4 linked regions of the Drosophila melanogaster genome follow. The protein of the gene in region 3 interacts with the protein of the main gene of each other region in a pairwise test. Each region holds a gene or a part of one and is shown on either strand. Other genes may lie near its edges.

Region 1 (4,713 bases), about 10 Mb from region 3:
GAAATGGGCGGACTTCAGGGGGCTGGGTGTTCGGATTTGGGTGCTTGGGGCTTTTGCCAGTGTGTGAGTGTGTGGAAATTCGGAAAATCGGAAAAGAGAACTTCGGTTTCCGCGCACCGAGGGCCGCCACAGTCATTTGATCCCAGAGCACGCACCGAAAAAAAAAATTGAGTCAAAAATTCCGCTTATATACCTGACTTGATATATAGCGCCTGTGTGTGTTGCCTATATTATTGTCTTCATTTTTTTTATTTTTTTTGTTCATTTTTGAGGCCTTTTGCCAAAATCAACACGACCGAGGCGAAACGAAACGATACGAAACGAAAATTTTCATTGACGTAATTGTATTTGGCCGTTTGGCGCTGTCCATTTTTATTTTTAAATTTATGAAATCATAGCGCTCGCACCAGTTTTCATCTCAAATGAAACGCATAAAAATATGGCGGTTTTGAGATATTCAAGGTGTTGTCAAAAGCTTCAATAGCAGGCAGTGGCGAGATTGCAGTTGTAAGATGATTGTAATGACTCGACTGATTGACTGACTGATTGACTGACTGACTGACTGATTGATGGATGGCGCATCGAAGCGAAGCAGAAAGGCTGAAAGAACTTGTGGCGTTCGGATGGACCGAAGCTTATGTAACCTTGCAAATAACAATCAGGTGATTGCCTTTTTTAATTTTAAATTTTAATTAAAATTTTAAACGTTTTTTTCTAAAAAACTAGATTGAAAGCATTGACATAAACTTTTGAACCTGAATTTCATCTATGTTACTATTCCAGTTTCAAGAATGTTAAAAATATCTTTTAGTTTCATGGCGGATAATTTGTTATGTAAACAATCATAATCATTTATCTATATTATTTGAAATATACTTTAAATGGTAATAACAGGATATCTTAGTTCAATATCCACATTTGCAAGGCCACCGATTTCGGAAGCATTAAGATACAGATACTCGGCTGTGTGAAGCAGTTAGGCGGGAATCGGCTGTAGATAGTACAGTATGTGGTCCGTATATGGTACCAACTTACTTGTTCGGCTGTAGTGATGATCGTAGATGGCACGGGGCGAGTAGCCGTAGGTGTCGCGGCTCACTGGCAGATATCTGTAGCCAGAGGACTGGACGCGCTCATTGGCGGTGGCGGGCTCGTCATAGATGCTCCTGTAGGAGGGCGAGTCCAGGTAGGAGCTGTAGGGACGAGAGGCACGGGGCGCCTCGTGGGCACGGATATCCTCGGAGCCTATAAATAGTTGTTTGGATAACGACGCGTTAGTTCATTGCTTTTCAAATATTTCGGCTATTCTATTCTCACTATTTGGCTCAATGCCAGCGCTGCAGAAATGTATGATTTCTATTCGGTTTCTATCATAGATGCGCCCCCTGTATGTGTATCCTATATTTTAGCCTATTCTTTGTTTAAGGCCTGAGCATATATATTTTACAAATTTCTCTCTATATATTCGAATATACTATGGCGAAAAGCTTTCCCAGCAGAGCGTGTCTAAGTATATAGCTTGGCTGATATGACACCTGCCAAAATAAATAGACTATACACATATAGGCTAAGCTATTTGTGTTGCTCACTGGCGACCAGAGTTTAATAATATCACTTTTGAGTGTCCCTTAATCATATCGAAATGGGAACACTTCGAGTTAATCTTCAATTGTTTTTTGAATTATTTTGGAACTATGCAAACTCCCTACTATTGTGACTAAGCAATCAATAGTAGTTTTGAATAACTATCCTATCTTTTAATGTAATTTTTGAGCTTATTTAGTGAATGCTTACCCTTCAGGGACCTGATGTAGGACTGCCAGAATTTCGCCTTCTTGCTGGGGCTCTCATTGCGCCCAATCATTTCCAAGTGGTTTTTGAACATTTTGATCGATTTGTTTTGTTCTGTTCACGAAAAAATCGTTGAACTCGTTCGCTGTAATAAAGTTGGGAAGAGAGATGGCTTAGCAATTTTCCAATGTGTTTCAAATTTCCTTTCCGCCTATTTTATTTTATTTTTTTTTTTTGTCCGTTTTCAATTTAATCTATTTCCCGGGAAATGCCAGGCAGCACGCACGAATTCGAATCGCTTGTCTCTCGATTGATGGGATGTTTTCTCAGTTGAATTTTTTGCTTTCGCGTTGAAAGTCTCTCGGTTCGAAAATAAACAGACTGTGTGCCACTTTAGAGCAGTGCAAAGTTTATAAAACATATACATAAAATCTAATATAATACCGCGATCGGGCAACAGCAGCTAACGCAAGATCAATCTCACTAAAAATAAATATATTTCGGTTCGGTTTTTGTGATTTTTCATGTATCGTGGTATTCTCCTGGTTGCTCGAATATAAAAATATTTTTTTGTTGCATAGCAAATTTCACACTTCTGAGTATGAGAACAAATATTCTAGGTGTCGTCAGTGTGTGCGTGTAAATGGGTGAGTGGATGTAAGTGTATCTGTGTGTAAGCTGCAGCTAAATTGGGTTTTATTTTTAAATGTCCTTGAGTTGAAATCGTTCTGTTATTCTGGCTTTTAGCGGAATTTACTTAAGTATCGAAGAAGTGTGCAAAGTCTAAGAACAATTTAGTTGAAGTATGTTTAAAATAGGCCTTTATTATCCATTAAACTAAATTAATTTTGAATTTAATTCAATGTGGGATTTTTGTTTTTTATATTTCACTGCACAAACTCTTGATGAGCTCCAACACTTCGGTATCAAATGTCATTGAGTACGATCTCTCTTATATAATTATAGTCAATGTCTTTTCGCTATGGAACATATCGGATCATTCATAATGCGATCATAATTCCATAATTATTTCACCAGTTAATTGTTCGTCTCCACATTCAGATGTGATGGTGCACTTTATTTAATTTGATTTTATTGTTTTTCATTTCGTTTATAATTATTTAATTTACTATTCAGTTGTATGTTGTTTAATATGTTTCGGGTTCGCTTACAATTTAAATTTACTCCTAAAAAATAGCGATCTATCCTCAACGAAGAATTTTTTCAAACTGCAAACCCCAAGAAAATTCGCCTCACCAATTTTCCTCGTTTCAGAATTTTGCCATTCCGTTTCGGCACCAAAAGCACGGCGCATTCCTTTACGGCGTAGGTTGCTCTATCCGTGAGCGATTTTCATCGCATCTGTGTGGCAAAGCTCCGGAGATTGGTTATGGGAAAGCTTTCCCACCACATTCTGATAGATCGTGTGGTGGCACCCACTCATTGTTTGCAACGATTCAATACCGAAATCGCGATGACGCTGGCGATGATCATAAAAAGAAAGCCAGCCAAGTCATACCACACATACACAATACATATGAGCCCATATTTCTTTCAGAAAATCCCACACCCTATTTTCTGTTTTTGTTTTTCCTATGGTTTTTCATAATTTTAACATATTCTTTGAATGTTTCAAGGGAAAGGCGTCACTTGTGGTATTGAATTGATCAGTGAACTATAAGCTCTAACTAATACATTACAATATTTGGTTTTTTGTAACTAACTAATTCAAAATGTGGTTAGAGGCCGATGGAATTTTTGCCATAAAAGCATTTAAATTCCGTTTATTTGTTTATGTTTTCTTTTGGCTTTGGCATTAGCTATAATTTAGTTTCCTGATAATGGAAAAATCATTTCCAGCAACATGCCCACACAGGTAAATAAACAAAACTGGTCCAGATACATTTAACCAAATAATAGATACTTTAAGCACACAATATATTATTTATAATGAAATCTGTATGAATAGTTTGATATTTTCTAGCTTGTTATGTAAAATTTGCCGTTAATTGATTATTTAAAACATTAGTAACTCATTTTTTTCGATTATACCCTCCTGTAGGGTATATCTTTTTTGCTCACGTGCGACCCAATGATTGATAATCTAAACACAAATTTTCCAGGGAAATTCCTACGAAAACGAATAAACAAAGATGGGTAAAGCTTCCCCCATCATATACAATTACATCGAAACGAGTTGAAGGGCAGATCTGGGAGTACATATGTTTCTAATAATAGTAAATACATTCATGGAGATCATGTTGACCTTTTCAATCGTGCAGATCGCTTACAGAATTTCCTGCATGTGTTTTCTTTTTCCGCCGATAAACTCAAGGCCAAATGCACTTGCATCCAAATGTTCTTTTGACTTTGTTTGTTTAGCTTATATAAATCTTGTTTGTGAATTTTACCCTTAAACAGGCGGGCGGCGTCATTTAAACTTGAACTTGACTTTGAATGAACCGAATGCGGTTTGATGAACCAAATCGAAAATCAAATGAAAATGCACAAAAACTCACGGGAAATTGGGAAATACCTGGCAAAGGTTTTTCTTTCGGCCAATCAGTGATTTCGGTGATGTGATTCAACTTTTACTTTCTGGCACACTTTTTTGGCTTCACAGAACAATGAATTGAGCAACTTTTTATTTTACTTTCGTTTTTTTTTCAGGTTTTTCATTTTAATTTATTTTAGTTTATTGGCGCTTGATTGTGTTTGTTCCAACATCTTTGATGTTTTGCTCAAGGAGACACAAAAATTGGCTAGGAATTGCATACCCTTAAAAGGAATCTCAAATAAAATTTAGTTATTTTAAAAATATTTTAATTGGCCTAGCGGCTTACAAAATAATTATCTTAGAGAAATTTATGTCCCTTGGGAAATGGGGTCAAAATGTAAGCTCATTATTTAGAGGGCACATAT
Region 2 (8,032 bases), on a different chromosome or scaffold from region 3:
ATACCGATCACCAGGACTTGCATCATAGCCCTCGCCCAGCTCCGCTTCCGTCAGCAGGTTCTCCTTCTCGCTCTGCTTGCACTTGGCGTTGGTTGGTGATGCACTGCCCGTGTTGGTCGCCTTCAATCCGGTGCTCTTGTTAAGGCGACTGAGGAACCAGTTTCGTGCCAGCTTGTCGCAGTCCTTGCTGACCGGACTGGATTGCGGTGAGGTGGTTGACTTGCGCTGCTTCTTCTGATCCTTGGTGGGCGTTTGGACGGGGCTGGTCAGGGGAGAGAGCATCTCCGGTTCACTACCATTCGAATAGCTCTTTTTCGCTGCCTTTTTCAGACGATCCGGACTGGGACCGGCCGCTGATAACTGGGTGGAGAGCTCACTGTGCACTGTTTTCACCCTGGCCTGGAAGTCCAGCGATATGCTTCCGTGCAAACTGGAAGGCTGCGGTTGCACCTTAATATCTCCCTCGTTGAGTAGTCCCAGGGATTCCAGCTCCCCACTTACAGATGCCACCCTGGAGGAGGTGTCCTGCAGCGGCTGTGCCGGGCATTTGGGCACATCGTACTCGAAACGTCGGGCGAGGGCGCTTGGGCTGTTGCTTTTCTCCGGCAGCTTAGGGAGCACCATGGAGGAGGAGTCTATGAGACCATACACGGGCGAGGGCTCCTCGTAGATGATATCCGCTGCTGTGTAGGTGGATTTCTTTTGGACCGGCGGCGTGGGCAGTTTCCGGGGCGGTGGAGTCTTTAACGCTGAATGAGCACCAGCATCTCCGCGGATGGCCGCCTCAATGGCGTGTATCCACTCTTTGGCATCGACTTCGTTGTTGGCCTGGTACACGAACTTCTTGTTGGGGTCGTCTGTTGTGATCTGGAAGCAGATGTCGCGCCGCTTCCCCTCTCCGAAGTGTTCAATCTCGATGGAGGAGCTCTTCAAGTAGAGCGTGCTGCTGGGTCGACAGGCGGTCGGGCCGTCGGCATAGCACAGCATCCAATCGTTGAGGATGCCACAGTAGCACTTGCGGGTCTGGTCGAAGAACAGCCGCTTGGGCACAATCCTCTGCAGCTGTCCGTACTTTGTTGACCTCTGCAGGGACAAGTGGCCAGCGGGCAGATCTGCATACGGGCAGTCAATGAACACCTCGTGGGTAAAGGTGATCGCCTGTTGCGCCTCATCCTCGTCCTGGCCCGCTCCCTGGCCCTGGCAAATCTCGTAGAGCTGCTGATGTGGCTCCTTGTCCTTCGCTGCCGGAACCGGTTGATTGACGGAGCAACGATCCAGGGATCCGCTGCTGCCCAAATCAATGTACTCCCGCGAGGCGGACACTGCAATTACGGGTAATTAGTGCTAATTGTAGGCATTAGAGAGGTACAGGTACAGTAGTGCTTCTAAAGCCTGGCTATCCGCTTTGCAACCATTATGCTGGTTTAAGTCTCTTTCAACAATGTACCGTTTTTTTTTAAATATAAATACATAATTGTAGAGCTTACAAAAGTTACCAGTATACTTTAGCATGGTTTATTTGGATTTCAGTTAGGGAAGCATGACTGTATGTAATATGTATGAGTAGTGTTCAGCACTCACGTGAGCTTTTCGAGGGTGACGGGGAGGCAAGCATCTCCAGATAACCGCTGGGACCGGTCTCCGCGCCCACCTTGCTATCGACACAGTCGACCAGGCTGGAACGATGGTTAGCTGCCGCCTGCTCGTCTGCGCATCCCAGCCCTGATCCCAGTTCCAGTCCCGATCCCGATCCCGATGCAGAACTGGCTGCAGCCAGCAGGATTTCGCAGCGGGCCAGAAGAGCGGCGGTCTGCTCGGCGGCCGTCACATGGAATAGGTTCGAGGTGTTCTCGTACTCCGAGGTCTCCAGCGAGGCTCGGAAGTGGGCGCGGACATCTGAAAGCAAGCAGAGGGGAGGATCGTAAGCTCTTCAGCTGGCTAAATAAGGCGGCGGCCCCATCGGCTATTATTTTTAAACGCATCATTGAGCCTAATGGCGGGGCAGTTGAGCAACAGAGTAGCTTTCTTGGGCGGGCAATTAGTGGGCCAGTGGAGTGGTGGTGCCTCTTCTGCTCCGACTTCTGCAGCCGTGACTCACTGGCTCTACCGTTCCCAGCCAGAAGTACGGTCACAAACGCATGTGGGTATGTACATGTACATGTACATAAGTGACCTCATAAGCTCTTGCTCAAGAGTCAACTGCGAATTGACCGGGGCAATTAAAAATAATTTCACTGACCAAGAAAGTTAACTCTGGTGTCTGTTACCCCACCCTCTGTCCAGAAATGCCCACATCCACAGAAAACCAGAAGACGCTGAAATTTGCCCGAAATCTTGTTAAAACTCAAGCACGCAAAGCTCCGGTGAACTGCTCTTAAAAGTAATATGTCCAAATATGGAAATAAGAAAAATATCCAAAAGTCGTGCTGGCGAAATGCGAACTGGAAATGCCCTTAAGAATTTGAGATCTTAACCAGAAGAGCTTGGTCACTTGGAGTTTTTTTTGGCAACTTTCCATCATTTAATTGTTAAAAACGCCTTGGACAAATAATAGTTTCAGCTTGAAGCCAAATTCTTATTATATATAGTTAGGAGCGATAATTTTTTTTTTAAGGAAGTGGAAACAAGACTTAACTTAACCGTTCAGTTAAAACGTTTCGTGCAAAGGCAACTTTTTGCTCCCAAACTATGGATAATTGGGGATCTTGACAGTGCATATCTTTCCAACCAAATGAATTAGGGAAAAGGGCATTAAAAGTATAATTTGTTTGATCTGTATGCCAAATCAGCACTCTGACTTTGGCCTTTAAGTCTACAGCAGAGGAAAGATTACTAGGTGCAAACTAACCAATTTAAAATGGGATAATAATGAAGAAGTTTATCCTATAAAACATTATAAGTATGTATATTTGTTATCAATAAGCTTGTCTCGCTGTAATATGTGTTGCAGAAACCAACTGCTAAGTTGATAATTGTGTCTTAATCAGGATCGTTGGGAAACTCCTCAGAAACTCATTTGTACGATATATGTATCAATGTGAGGCATACACAAACAAATATAAATTGAAGCAACAGTCATCGGAGGAGGGTGGATATACATACATATATGTACGTGCTCCTCTATTCCCCTGATCATGCCCTGAGAGCCACTGAACCGAGACCCGAGAAAGTGGAACCGACTAGGGAAGGTCCAAGATGGGCTAAAAGAGCGCTTAAGGCTTAGTTCTGCGGCATGTCCAATCCGCTGTTTATTGTCTTTCTCGTCCACATACACATGTAGAATGATTTAACGAAATAACCACAAATATATATATGTACATATATATAAACGATTCGGGGGAACAGCGCTCCAAAGAGGAGCCCAATTGGGACTCGATAAAGTGTACGAAATACGCGCGAGGCGAAGGAGGAGGAAGAGGAGGAGGGCCACTAAAATATCCAGAAGAGTCCGATGGTCTGGTCACAGGCCAAAAGAAGAACAAAAGAGTATTAAGCTCGGGCGCCTGCGGAATGAGTCAATACTAATACTCCGGCACTGGGTTATTGTTAATGGTTATGTTTTGGATCGCCTCCTCCTCCTCGTCCTCCTCTTCCGCCTCCTCCTCCTCCATCTCTTCTCAACTTTGAGTCGGTGTGTAATTTTTTGATGGCGCTGTTTGCCTGGCGAAATTAACAAAGTTTCTGTTGATCTATCTCACACTAACTGGCTTCAATTTTGCTTTGCTGATTTTAGCTACACGCAGAAAAATAGGTATGCCATAAGTAGAATTTTCTTTATGAGATAGGAACACTATCGATGGAAACAAAAAAAAAAAAAAAAAAAAAAAAAAATCATAAAAATAAGTTTTGAAGAAATATGAGATTGGCTATTGTAAACCAAGGATTATTTTGCTGCTTTCCAACCGCTTTTAAATAGTTGTCTTAAACAAATACGAGTATCTCATAAGCACTTTTATGTGCTGATAAATAGCTACTTATACTATTAACACCCAAGACCGATTCTTTGAGAAAAACCTGGCTTACCCAACAAAAACTGCTCAATTTCGGCCAGCTTGGTAGTTGTTGGTTTCGGATTCATGGCTTCTAAATAGTATTGTATCCGCACTTTTGTATTCCGATTTTAGTGTTCAGTGTTAATTTGAGGCGATTTGCGTTAATGTGCGTTGAGTGCTAGTTGTTGTTTGGCCGGCCGAACGCTTGATTTCTCGCCCGGGCTTTATTGTGGCTTCTTTGCGATCTGGATCGGAATAGTCATCTGTATCTGTATCTGGCATATCCACCAACTGCACACCACACGGCGTTTTGCCTTAGAAATTAACAGTTTGCTGTCAAAATGGGATAACACATTTGTATTTTTATTAGATCACATGCACAGCAGAACCGATCGGATGCACTATCTTCGATTGCGATGACGGGAGTGGAGCGCGGAACGGATTGCGACCGGAGTGCTACTGAAGGTACACGCATATACCCATTCCCGGGCTATCAGATGCTCGATGCTGCCGTGCCACGGCAACTACCTCCCCCGCTGAGGAGTCGACCTATAAATAGCTGGGACATCGATGCAGCAGCACGGATATCCAGATACCTAGACATCCAGACAACCAGATTTCCAGACATTCAGACATTCAGATACAATGCAATCTCTATTGCGCTCTATTCTCTATATTTCGTTTTTACTATTGTCTGCTCTTTTCGCCTTTTCGGTTGCACGCTTCGTTTGGCGCCCCATGGAAAATGAAAATCAAGCGATGACGTTATGTATCTCTGGGTATCTGGCGGCTAGAGTATCTGGATTCGCTGATGGGGAAACAGTGTGTGCTTGCCATTAAGTGTCATTACGACATCCCCATTTATTGGGCCTCTGCACTTGTCGGGTGTCTCCGTTTTTGTTTATAATTTTCAGTTTTCACTCCTCTGGCGTGCCTGTCATTTGCGGTTACCACTGTGCTGTGGCCAAGAACCGCATACAAATCGGGCGGCCACACGCAGAGGAGCTCGGACCCGGGACTTGAAACTGGGGACCTGTGCCTGCGACGGGGCCCCTTGTTTGGGGCCAAGCCCTTTAATTGTGACTCATCTGTGGGCGACGCGTGTCGCCACAAAGAAGCGACCGTCTGTCCGGCGAGAAGATGCAAATACTCTCGCACTTCTGCTTACCCAAAATTGTCTCTGCTACAAAGAAAAATATCTCAAACTGACCGATTTGAATACCCAACTTATTAGTGTGCAAATATTGAAATAACTTCTATATTTCAGAACGTTATTGTCAGTTAGGTTGATTGATAGATAGATAGATAGATAGTCAGTCAGAGAGTTTCTCGAACTTTATGGCCATGTTCTACTGTACAAGCGAACTGCTGACCATTTCTCTGGGCCTCACTATATACACCCGCTGCCATTTCTACGTGTCCAGAGACAGCTTTTACTTTTCGGTTCTTTATTTTTTATCGTGACCATAAAACAGAAATGTAATTTGATTTGCACCGAGCGGCCGAAGTATTTGCTTCCTTTGTGCCAGCCGTTGAAAATATGTACACATATATAGTATATTTATTGATTCAGAACATTTGCAACTGGAGACCGCGACACCTTTGTTTGCAATGGATAATCGAATCGAATGGCGAGCTCCCAACTGGCTGTCGTTCCGCGGAAAAGCCAAACAAACTGTTGGCCAGCTGGCTTCGCCGCGCGAGACTTTTCCGGCCCCGAAACTCAATGGAAACCTGTGCGCAGGCGTGTCCGACACCCCACTGCCACTGCCATCGCCATCGCCAACGCACTCCCCACTCCGCCGCGCGCTCCTTGCGCACTTCCGGTCATTTCCGATCCCCCCGAATGGCCGGCTTCCTGCTGCCGAGGAGCCCCCAATAACGAATTACGAAATGCATCCACGCACCGATTTCGGTCTTGCATCCGGTTTTCCACTGCGTTCTGACTACGTTGACACCTTTTCGCTCGCGGGCGAACTGTTCACCGCCGGAGCCAAGAAGCGAGCGCGACTTTCCGGCTGTTGCGCCACCATGAATCACTCGAGCTTAACTGCCCGACTTGGAGCTCGTCCGCTCTAGGAGCGCCAGCTTGGGCCGCCGCCAGCCGATGGCCACCCGAACGCAGCCGAAGTGCCCTCGGCTTTGGATCTCTCTCTCTCTGCACGGCGCGAAAAAATTGAACTTAAATTCGGTACGCAAAATTTCAATTCTAAAGAAATTACTCATTCATAACTATAAGACAAGTTTAAACAGCCTACGATTATGTTAACCATTCTAAGAAGGTTCGCTAAGAAGTAGTGCGATTTATATGACCAACTTCTATCAAAATTTAGATGACTTTTTTAGTGTTGCAGTGAAATATTATACGACTTTGCTTTGCTTTTTCGGTGGAATAAATAGCCGGCCGGCTTGGCGGAGTTGGATGCCCACGCCCAAGCGGCATGTCCCATTCGGATACCCCATCCTGGAGTAGGCACCCGAAAATTGTACCGCTCTTGCCACATTTGGAGAGACGATCACGCTGCTGATATCATATTTTAGAGAGCATCATGCCCATTTTGGCAATGGCAAAACAGGCCGCTACACTACGGTCGGGCTCCCATAAGTAGAACGACTTAAAGGTGCTCAATCTGCCATCAAATACATTGTTGCGCACAATGTACGCTCGATAGTCGAAGTTCTGGCTCCCCTTTCTCAGATATTTAATTACAGAATATTATTGTTTACAACAATATAAACATTGCGAATAATTGTACATATTTGTATTATAATTTCAAGACTCTCTATTACAATTTATGTTTGTATATCACATTTTCTTAATATTAAGTAACTGTCCTTAAAATGGCATTATTTCCCTAAGGTAAACTTTTTTTTCCTCATTCTGCATGTGCATGCATACAAGATGTTCGTGCCGAGTGGCTAGTCTGTGGAACCAGAAATCTTCTAATGTGGCAGGCAGATGTTGTTGCCGCAGCTGCCGAGAAATCCGAGTCTTCGGCACAGAAAGGGGTAAGCAGAGGGCCATGGGTCGAAGCCGAGTCTGGAGCCTTCTCCTGTGCGTGTGCTCTTCACAATCGGCGGCAGATAAAGCGGCCCGTCCAGAGCCGATCGGCTGCCCTTTTTGGGCAGCAGTTTTGAAGGACGCGTTCATGGGATGCTGAGGCAAACAACTCAATTTTAATTAAACGTTGCGCTCCGAGAAATAAATTAAGCATGCTGACCAGGTTGGCTGCGCAATATCTGGACAACCTTGGGTCCCCCCGCCTGGACTTGTCTCCGGCAGCAGTGATAAGTGCATAGCCGTTGCGTGATTCGACCCAGAAGACCGGGCGAGTGGATAACAGGTTCCCACCTCGGCTGGCTTTATCAAGCGGCACAAAGAGTCTGATTCTAGTATTGTGCTAACGCTTAATTATGTGCCACAACAAGTATTTTCATTCTTTGTACTTTAATGCATGGCCGGAGCTGTCTTCTGGCCGCTACTTGAGGAACGCTTGGAGGCGATTCTGCTGCGTTTTGCTGGCGTCTTTAAACGCGTTCGACTTCAGCTGGGCAGCTATTTGCAGCAGTACGTTCTGCTTCTGGGTTTTGGACTGCGTTTTTGGTGCGGTGGGCGCTGGCTGGGCAGGCTTCTTCTTTTTCTTCTTCGATGTCTGACTTGGGTTTTGGGAAGCTATGCCGACTGGTTGGGACGCGTTTTTGGATGGAGCTGGCGATTTCGAAGGCTGCTGCTGTCGCTGAGGCGCTTTTTGCTGCATTTTCAGGCCTGCATTGATATCTTTATTCGGCGCCTGAGACTTCTTCGTTTTGGCCTTCTTTTTGTTTTGGCCCGCTGGCGCAGGTTGTGTGACTACCATTGTCTCCTCCGTGGCTTTTACTTTGGCGCGCTTTCGGCTCTTCTCCAGAGCCAACATTGTCTTGTGATGGCAAACATCGCAGTCCACGGCCTGCAAAATGAATTGGGTTGTGGTTAGAGTGGCAGGAATGGGTCCATATGTACACACACAAAACACTGTATAAAGATCTTTCAGCTTCCTTGG
Region 3 (4,205 bases):
TAAACCGAAAAAAAAAAAACACGAAATGAAGAAAGAAATGGAAGAGTGAAATAAGCTGAGCGGAGTTTATTTTAGGTTTAACGATTTGGAAATAACGCCACAAAACAGGACGACAAATTATTTGGCCATCATCTGCAGAACTTTCGCATGGCATTGGCAGATTGGCGAGAGGGTCTGAAAACTTATTAATTTTCACAAAGTCAGCCACACGCAAAGAGCACGCGCACACACACACATACACAAAATTGTGAAAAACTGTGACGTTATGCACATGAGTGAGCAAATAGCAGCAGCCACATCAGCAACCAAAATGCATAGCATACTTTGCTGGGCAATAAGTATTTGAGTTTTTGAAGGGACGCACTATAAGCTGGATTTTTTTTATTTTTTTTTTATTTAATTGACTAGCTGTTATGTTATTAATTTTGGCCACAAAAAGGTACCATTCAGACTATAGTGGAATGGCTGTGAAATGAAATGGTAACATGGTGAGAAAAGATGTTAAAAATATAACAAAGCAACAATAAATATTTGTACGTACTTATTTATTGCCTGTTTTTTGATTTACAAATATTTAAAAAAAATCTTATTTTTTTCTTATTAGCCCTCGAGCAAACGTTTATACTCGATCAGAATTTGCTCCTCCTGATCCAAGGGCAAGTTTAAGTAGTGGTTGTTGTTCTCGGCGAGGTTCTCGTTGAATCTCTTGAAGGCATTGTAAGACTCAATCTCCGACTTGGCCTCGCTAAGGACAGTCTGGAGCAAGTTCACCTTGCTGTTGGATAAGTTTACGAGTGGGGTGGTGCTATTTGCAGTCGCATTAGTTGAGCTCGTAGGTTCTTGAACCTCCAAAACTTTTGTCATGGTTTCAATAACATGAAGTAATTCCGATTCGTTGGGGAAACTTTTCAATAGAAATTTCAGAGATTTATGGAAACTGTTGCCCGTAGTTTCCAAAGCATCTCGAGCGGAAATCTCCGAAAATCCAAGGTGCTGTAGAGTAGTAAGTAACGATTCATCGACAGGAGGAATGGGCGGCAGATTGGCCCTAAGTTCATCTGAATGACGCTGCAGTAGATCCAAACTGCGATCGAGATTATTTTTGGTCCTCTTCAGAGCCTCCACAACCAAACGCCTTTCGTAGCCCATTTCCATGAGCCTAATAATGCTGCGTGGATTGACCCATTCTCCTCCTTGACCGGCGAAAATCATCTCTTGGTTGACTTGCCTCTCGGCAGCCGAGTTCTTTCGCTCCTCACTGATTCTCTCGCTGCGTTCCTGGATATATTGAATGGCCCTATCCACTTGGCCCGCACAGGATCTCAAGGCCAACCTGGCATCCGATTCCTCATAGCCCATTTCAACGAGAGTGCTTAGCTCAGTGTCATTCATCTTGACCTCATACAAGTCCTTTGTCGCCACCTCCAGTTTTTCGTAGGCCTCATCCCGGCGATTTTGGTGAAAGAGGAGCACACCTTGGAGCAGGTGCAGTCTCATGATCAAAGCTCTTTCCGGGCTACTTGGACCCTTAATCGAGAACAATCGAATGAACTGCTCGCCATAGCTCTTGACAAAGCCCCTCTCGCAAATATCCAAACGTCGCTGTGCATCTGGCAGTTGGGTGATGTTCTTCAGGCGCAGATAGCACCAAACAATATCTAGATTGATTAAGGCATAGTTATCCACTCCTTCCAGGAGCTTTGAGTCACATTGGGAGAAGAGTTCATCGGCCTCGAGTAGGATGAGTAGAGCCTCATCGAAGTTCTCCTTATGCATGGCAACTCTGGCCACTTCGTACATGCTCATGGCCATCAATAGGGATCGATTTTCCTCGCGTGGCAAGAAAATTGGACGTCCATCCTGATCCTCCATTTCCATAAAGCGATCTGCATCCGCAACTAACTCCAAGTCCGCACGAATCCTTTGGATACGTTCGTGCAACTCCTGACCTTCATTAGTTCCACCCACAACCACCATGAGGTGCTGATTGGTTTTGAGCCCCTGCGAGGCCAGTGTCTTCTGCCCATTGATGATGCGTCCTCCGGAGATGCATTTCACATGACTGGAATCAACGATATCCAACTTCTTGGCCACCTCAGCTTGCAGATCCGAGCCCAGTCCACCCAGCGAACACTTGATCTCCAGCATTTGCACGGTGCCACCCTTGCTGTCCACACACCGCACATTGAACGTGGCCAATCCGGTGTCATTGAACTCTCGGCGAGCCGCCAGCTTCCGCAAGGCACCATCTTGCAATTCGCCCAAGGCAATTCTGCAGTCCGACACACTGATGCCCAGTTCGCCACTGATGTCCCTGGCCAGGCGGTCCATCTCCGACTCGATGCTGCCCACCTCCTCGAAGTAGTACGGCTCCTCCCACAACTTGATATCACGCTCCCGCAGACGAGCTCGCAGCTTAATGAATATATTGTTTATCTGGGACATGTTTCGTGCTGTCGTGCCCGAATCGAACTAAATAATTTCTAAATTTATGACGAACATTTTCAACTCTGACAGTGCTCTTTCAGTGTTACCTTAACATCTGTTTTTGCTAAATGCTAAAAAATGCTAAATTATTATAAATTCAGAGACGTAAGTTAAATCCCTTTAATTGCAATTTATAATTAATTACAATTAATTTTCCATATCAGTATAAAGCTGTTCAAGAACCCTCTCTAGATACCGATTGTATTTATTAACGAATCTTAATCGAATCGCTTCAGTTCGGCTCATAGTTGGAAATTGAAGTTATCTTATCATAATGAAACAAAATTTATTTTCAATCAAATCACTATATTATTGTTCATAGGTTGTTGGGAACAAAGGCTCGAGAATTGAAATCTAATCTGCTGTAAGCTTAAGAGTTTTTTATTTTTTAATAATAATATATTTACATAGACTCGATGCAGACATCAATGTTGGGCAGAAAAGAGTTAAAGGACGCTGTAACTTTATTGGTGGCATTTACGAAGCAGGAACTGGTATCGGCTGGCAATTTGGCAATCAGTTTTAGGGTTTTATTGATCTTTCGGGTCAGCCTCATGGATGCCTTGAACAATTTCCAGAAGCATTTGGCCGAGTTTTTGATGGACGAGCCCACGGACTTATCCGTGGCACAAAGTTTCGAATGCAGATGCAAAATATCGTCGCAGATTTTGATAATCTCCTTAACGGAGTCCACAATCTTGGCCACATCCTTGGGAATGGCAGTGCCACAGGCATCAATAGCATCCACATAGCTGGTGCATGAACTAAGGATGTTTGTCACCTCCTTGATAATACAGTTGGTGCCTCGAACCGTTTTCAATGCCTTGCGAAGGATTTTAAGGCATGTTCTAATAAAGCCCTGTGCCTCCACATCCATGTAGTCAGTGTCATTGTCCAGTTCATCCAGCAACTGCTCCAATTCCGATTCAAAGTCGAAATCATAGTCGAAGTTCTCGTTCTCCAGCAATTCTATTGCATTGGCCTGAAACAAAGAAATATTTATTATATTTAAGTTAATTTTTTTTTAATTGGCAAATCTTACCCGCGTGGTCAGCAGACAGGTGGCCGAAACCAGAACCAAAAGGCAAACGGTGATGGCTTTCATTTTACTGTCCAATTAATAATATTTTCTCGGCCAGTAGTGAAGATCAGTTTATATACCCGCTGAAAACTACGTCTTATCAGAAATTAATCGAATTGCCCACTCCAACTATCTAATACCTTTTTTTTATACGGCTATCATCTAGAAATGTGTAATCAATCTACCTACCTCAAAAGTACTTATATGTATCTATCTATCAGCACTTATCAGCCACTTAAGATACTTAAAATATACATTTTCGATCGGTTAATTTTCATATTGCTCAATTGAAGTGTTTTAAATGAATACAAATCTGAAATGATTAATTAATTTTCCCATTTAAATGCAAACGAAATGTACGCTCTAAAAATGTCGAATATTTTTCTTGTGGCAATTATCACACAATATCCGTTGATGTCAGTGCGAAATTCACTTGGGCACCCTTAAGAATCGAGGCTCAGAACGAATTAAAAGCCATAAACCGCAGACAAAGAGGAAAAGAACCACAATTGAATGGTGGCTGCCACCAGATTTTCCGGGCACAATAGACGGCAAAAGGAAAAAAATTTGTTGCCATTGTCAGCTTAACGCGCTCGGTTCACTTTGTTCGGGTTATAAATGGTAACGTGTGGTTAAG
Region 4 (3,670 bases), on a different chromosome or scaffold from region 3:
ACAACACCGTGGTTACTCCAGTGGCGGGCAGCAGCAATCAGTTGAATAGCCAGAATAATCTCCTGGCCGCTGCAGCAGCCTCTTCGAATGTCTCGAATCTGTCAGCAGCTGGAAACGCGATGGTGGCTCCTTCCAATGTCAACAACTTCCAGATGGATGATGTCCAAAAGTTGAAGCAGCAGTTGCAGGACATCAAGGAACAGGTGAGCTCAAATAAGATTGAAAATATGTTCAGTGACTGATCCTCAAATTTATCTTATAGACTATGTGTCCTGTCTGCTTTGACCGCATAAAGAACATGGTCTTCCTATGTGGCCACGGCACGTGCCAGATGTGTGGCGACCAGATTGAGGGGTGTCCCATTTGCCGCAAGACCGTGGAAAAACGCATCCTGCTCTTCTGAAGCCCGTTCCCGGTTCACACATTCCGCGCACAGTCTGCACAGCCTTCGAAGTATTAGGATATTTAAAGGACTCACATTCTTATACACACATATATACACACACAATATCATATATATAACTATATATCGGATTGGTCTTATAAAGCAAAAATATATTTTTAACAAATATTCAAACAAAAACATTAAGCAGAAATACTTTTGCTTGGCTCCTTGCTAATCAGATCCCTCAGAATGTCCTTCTTGGCCTGGAAATAGTCACGGAACCAGAAAATGTGATCCTTCTTCTCCTGGGCAGTCAAGTAGGGATTCTTGGACAAGCCGACGCAGACGAGCTCCATGAAATGGCGAATAGGCCCCTTGCTAGGACACCAATCCTCGAGATGTTGTTCCAGAAAAATGTGTTCCGAGAAGTCCACGTTATGCTCGTCCTCCCAATCCTGCTCATTGTTGATGGGAAAGCGCCACACCTTCTTTTGATCCGTCCACAGGACCATTTGCTCGAAGTAGTTTGCCGGGGGATGGGAAGCTTGTAAACTAAGCTCCCGCTCACTCAGCTGTGACCAGGTTGAAAGGATGTCGTTGGAAATCGGCAGCTGGGTATCCTTGAAGATACCCAACGGTTCCCCGCCGTACAAATTGACACTGCCCGTAAAGGATTCAGCCTCTCGTTTGGTTTGCCTCTGTGACCGCTGATAAGCCCCATCTCGATTCTGTGGCTTGAATCTGGAAGCCAGCGAGCGGCGAACGTACTCGCCGCGGGTCTGCTCCACCTGCTGCGGCTGCTGACGACGATCGATCTTCATGCCCACGATAATATCACTGTTGTGTAAGGAAAATAAATTTTATTAGATTATCCATTAATGCGAGAAAATCATTTTTACACACCTCAGATTGAGTTCCTTATCACCAGAAGGAGATCCCGAAACATCCGCCGTCTGATTTTCTCCGGTCGCTGCTGAAGAGGACTCGCTTCCATGGCCAAGGAGTTTGGCCAATAGCTCAGACTCTGTCTGCTTCTTGTCGCTCTCACTGGTGCCCAGCATGCTAGCAATGTTCTTGGCCGCAGTTAGAACATTCTTGGCGGCTGCCTCCTGTTTCTGGGCCTCCCTCCGCTTCCTGTTGGCATCACCAGGACGTGGAAAGTCCGATGCCGAGAGCTGATCCGTGGCCTGCATGGTGCCCAACAGGCGGTTCAGCCGCTGGGCCGCCGTTTCCACAGGTTCCTCCTTCTTCTTCGTGGGCTTTTCGTCGTCCGAAGAGGAGTATCCATCGTCGTTTTTGGACTGCGAAGAGGAGTAGTTGACCAATCCCACGTTTTTGAAGGCAGACGGTAGCAGGGAACTGAAAAATAAATAGTCGAGTGACGGATTTCTTTTGGTTATTTCAAATTAGACGGGTGGCCTACCGTAGGCCCAATCTCTGGGAACTTCGTACGGCCAACATTTTATAATATTTCTTTGATAATTTTAACTAGAAATAAGACCAAAGAAATCGCTCGCGTAACAACAATTCGGCGGAGAGTTGCCAGACCAGATGAACTGTTTGCACTGCCGTTTAAGCTAGTTTATAGTTAAATTTGGCTTTATTTTATGTTTGGCTTCCCTTGTCCTATTTCTTATAGTGTTTTGATTGAAAATATCCTTAACTAACCTAATCATTTCATGGACATTTGTTTTTTATCTGATTTGATATAATTTGAAATAAAATGTTCTTAAAATTGCATTTTGAATCAAGAATTTTATAGATTAACTTGACCACAGTTGGCAGCCCAAATTGCACCAGATAGTATGACCTTTGATTATCGAATTTGGAAATCTATGAAAATAATTATGTAGTTCAAAACAAGCTCCTTTTATAGAATTCTACATTCTCCTTGTAAGTAATTAACTTATAATCAAGCCTTTCTTCAACCTGTGATTCTAAGGTAAACACGAAATGTTACCACTTTTTCTTTGCACTTGGTAATAAGTCTCGCATCCACCGCGGTCACACTAATCACACGTTTTGTTTTTTGCGCTATTCCTGTTACTTTTTTTCGACGTACACACGCGTTTTGTTATTTTGCGCGATTAATTAATGGCAAAAAATAAAAAAAATAAATAAATAACGAGACGAAATAACGAAAACACCAGCGGCCGAGCTAGTGTGCGTGCGAGAGTGTGTGTGAGTGCTGTGTCTGTGTGGGCGTTTATAAATAAAACGCTGCGAAGCTGTGTGCGAAAAGCAGACGCGGATAAAGAAGTAAAAGAATGAGCGCAACCAAAAACAAGAGCGAAGGAAAGAAAGAAAGTGTTTTTTATTGAAATTCGTTGAAAAGTTTTAAATTTACTAAAACAGAGAGGCGAAAGTGCAACAGAGCGAAAGAGAGAGCGATAAATAGCGAGGTGAATATCAAAGGGAAACCCATTTGCATCGAGAAATAAAACGAAGCGAACGGACGGCCAAAGCGTAATTGTAAAATTCCACTGTCTGGGGCAGGCTATCAATTGGTGCATGTGTGTGTGTGTGAGCTATATATACGTGGTAGATGTATTATATATGTACGACATATATACTGCACGACACTTACCATATATACGAAGAAAACATGGAATCATCTCGCGATAATTGCCATATCCAATGTATCTCTATCTCTCATGTGTGCGCAACATTTTGCAGCTATCCTATACGAAACCGATCTGAATCAGTATCTGAATCCGAATCCGATTTATCAACCTGTTAAGCGAAGTGGAGCCACAAACCGAGTGCTTAAATGGATGCAACATCAATAATAACGCAAGTTTCCCGCGACGACGAGCAACTGAACGTCTATCCCAGCTATCCCAATGACAAAGGTGAGAACAAATAATGGGGGCCAAACTGGGGAAATCGCTGAAAACGCAGTCCGCATACACATACATATATTTAAAGCTCCCTTCATGACTCATCGCCACTCGAAGGCGTCACAACAAAGACGAAAGGACACTTGTCCGCTGCCAAGAAGTTTCCCCCACTTACCAACCACCACCCACCATAACCTCCCAAAGAAGAGGGCCCAACACCCCGCTGACCTTTCTAACACACCCAATTGCGGTCAATATAATTGTGGGAATAAGTTAGTTGTACATATGTCGTACTTTCCGAAAGTAGCAGCAAGTTAAATGGCATTGGCCTTTTTAATTTGTACAGGAACCACTCCAAAAACAAACTGATGAAAGACAAAAGTGCTTTTAATTCGAAAAATATATTCAAACAACATGCAATTAACTTGTAGCTGGAAAAAGTTGT

The links.
Region 1: the proteins of CG5111 (region 3) and Mf interact in a two-hybrid assay, tested with the Drosophila melanogaster proteins (one large-scale study listed by BioGRID).
Region 2: the proteins of CG5111 (region 3) and blow interact in a two-hybrid assay, tested with the Drosophila melanogaster proteins (one large-scale study listed by BioGRID).
Region 4: the proteins of CG5111 (region 3) and mRpS31 interact in a two-hybrid assay, tested with the Drosophila melanogaster proteins (one large-scale study listed by BioGRID).

Annotation. Positions count from the first base shown.
Region 1 is NT_033777.3:15,177,245-15,181,957, forward strand, and holds the start of Mf (myofilin), read right to left. Parts: upstream 3,027-4,713; 5' UTR 2,964-3,026; intron 2,107-2,963; exon of another isoform or gene 2,078-2,106; intron 1,937-2,077; 5' UTR 1,886-1,936; coding exon 1,795-1,885; intron 1,246-1,794; coding exon 1,036-1,245; coding exon of another isoform or gene 977-1,035; exon of another isoform or gene 1-976.
Region 2 is NT_033778.4:7,581,033-7,589,064, forward strand, and holds the start of blow (blown fuse), read right to left. Parts: upstream 6,048-8,032; 5' UTR 5,900-6,047; intron 4,454-5,899; exon of another isoform or gene 4,326-4,453; 5' UTR 4,079-4,325; coding exon 4,024-4,078; intron 3,191-4,023; exon of another isoform or gene 3,137-3,190; coding exon of another isoform or gene 3,103-3,136; intron 1,897-3,102; coding exon 1,582-1,896; intron 1,323-1,581; coding exon 1-1,322. Other genes in the region: CG1360 (uncharacterized protein), read right to left, coding at 7,472-7,939.
Region 3 is NT_033777.3:25,504,604-25,508,808, reverse strand, and holds CG5111 (uncharacterized protein), read right to left. Parts: upstream 2,535-4,205; 5' UTR 2,446-2,534; coding exon 601-2,445; 3' UTR 530-600; downstream 1-529. Other genes in the region: CG5107 (uncharacterized protein), read right to left, coding at 2,891-3,469, 3,530-3,592.
Region 4 is NT_037436.4:16,003,466-16,007,135, reverse strand, and holds mRpS31 (mitochondrial ribosomal protein S31), read right to left. Parts: upstream 1,944-3,670; 5' UTR 1,847-1,943; coding exon 1,809-1,846; intron 1,745-1,808; coding exon 1,289-1,744; intron 1,223-1,288; coding exon 586-1,222; 3' UTR 537-585; downstream 1-536. Other genes in the region: mib1 (mind bomb 1), read left to right, coding at 1-203, 263-403; hzg (herzog), read left to right, coding at 3,156-3,237.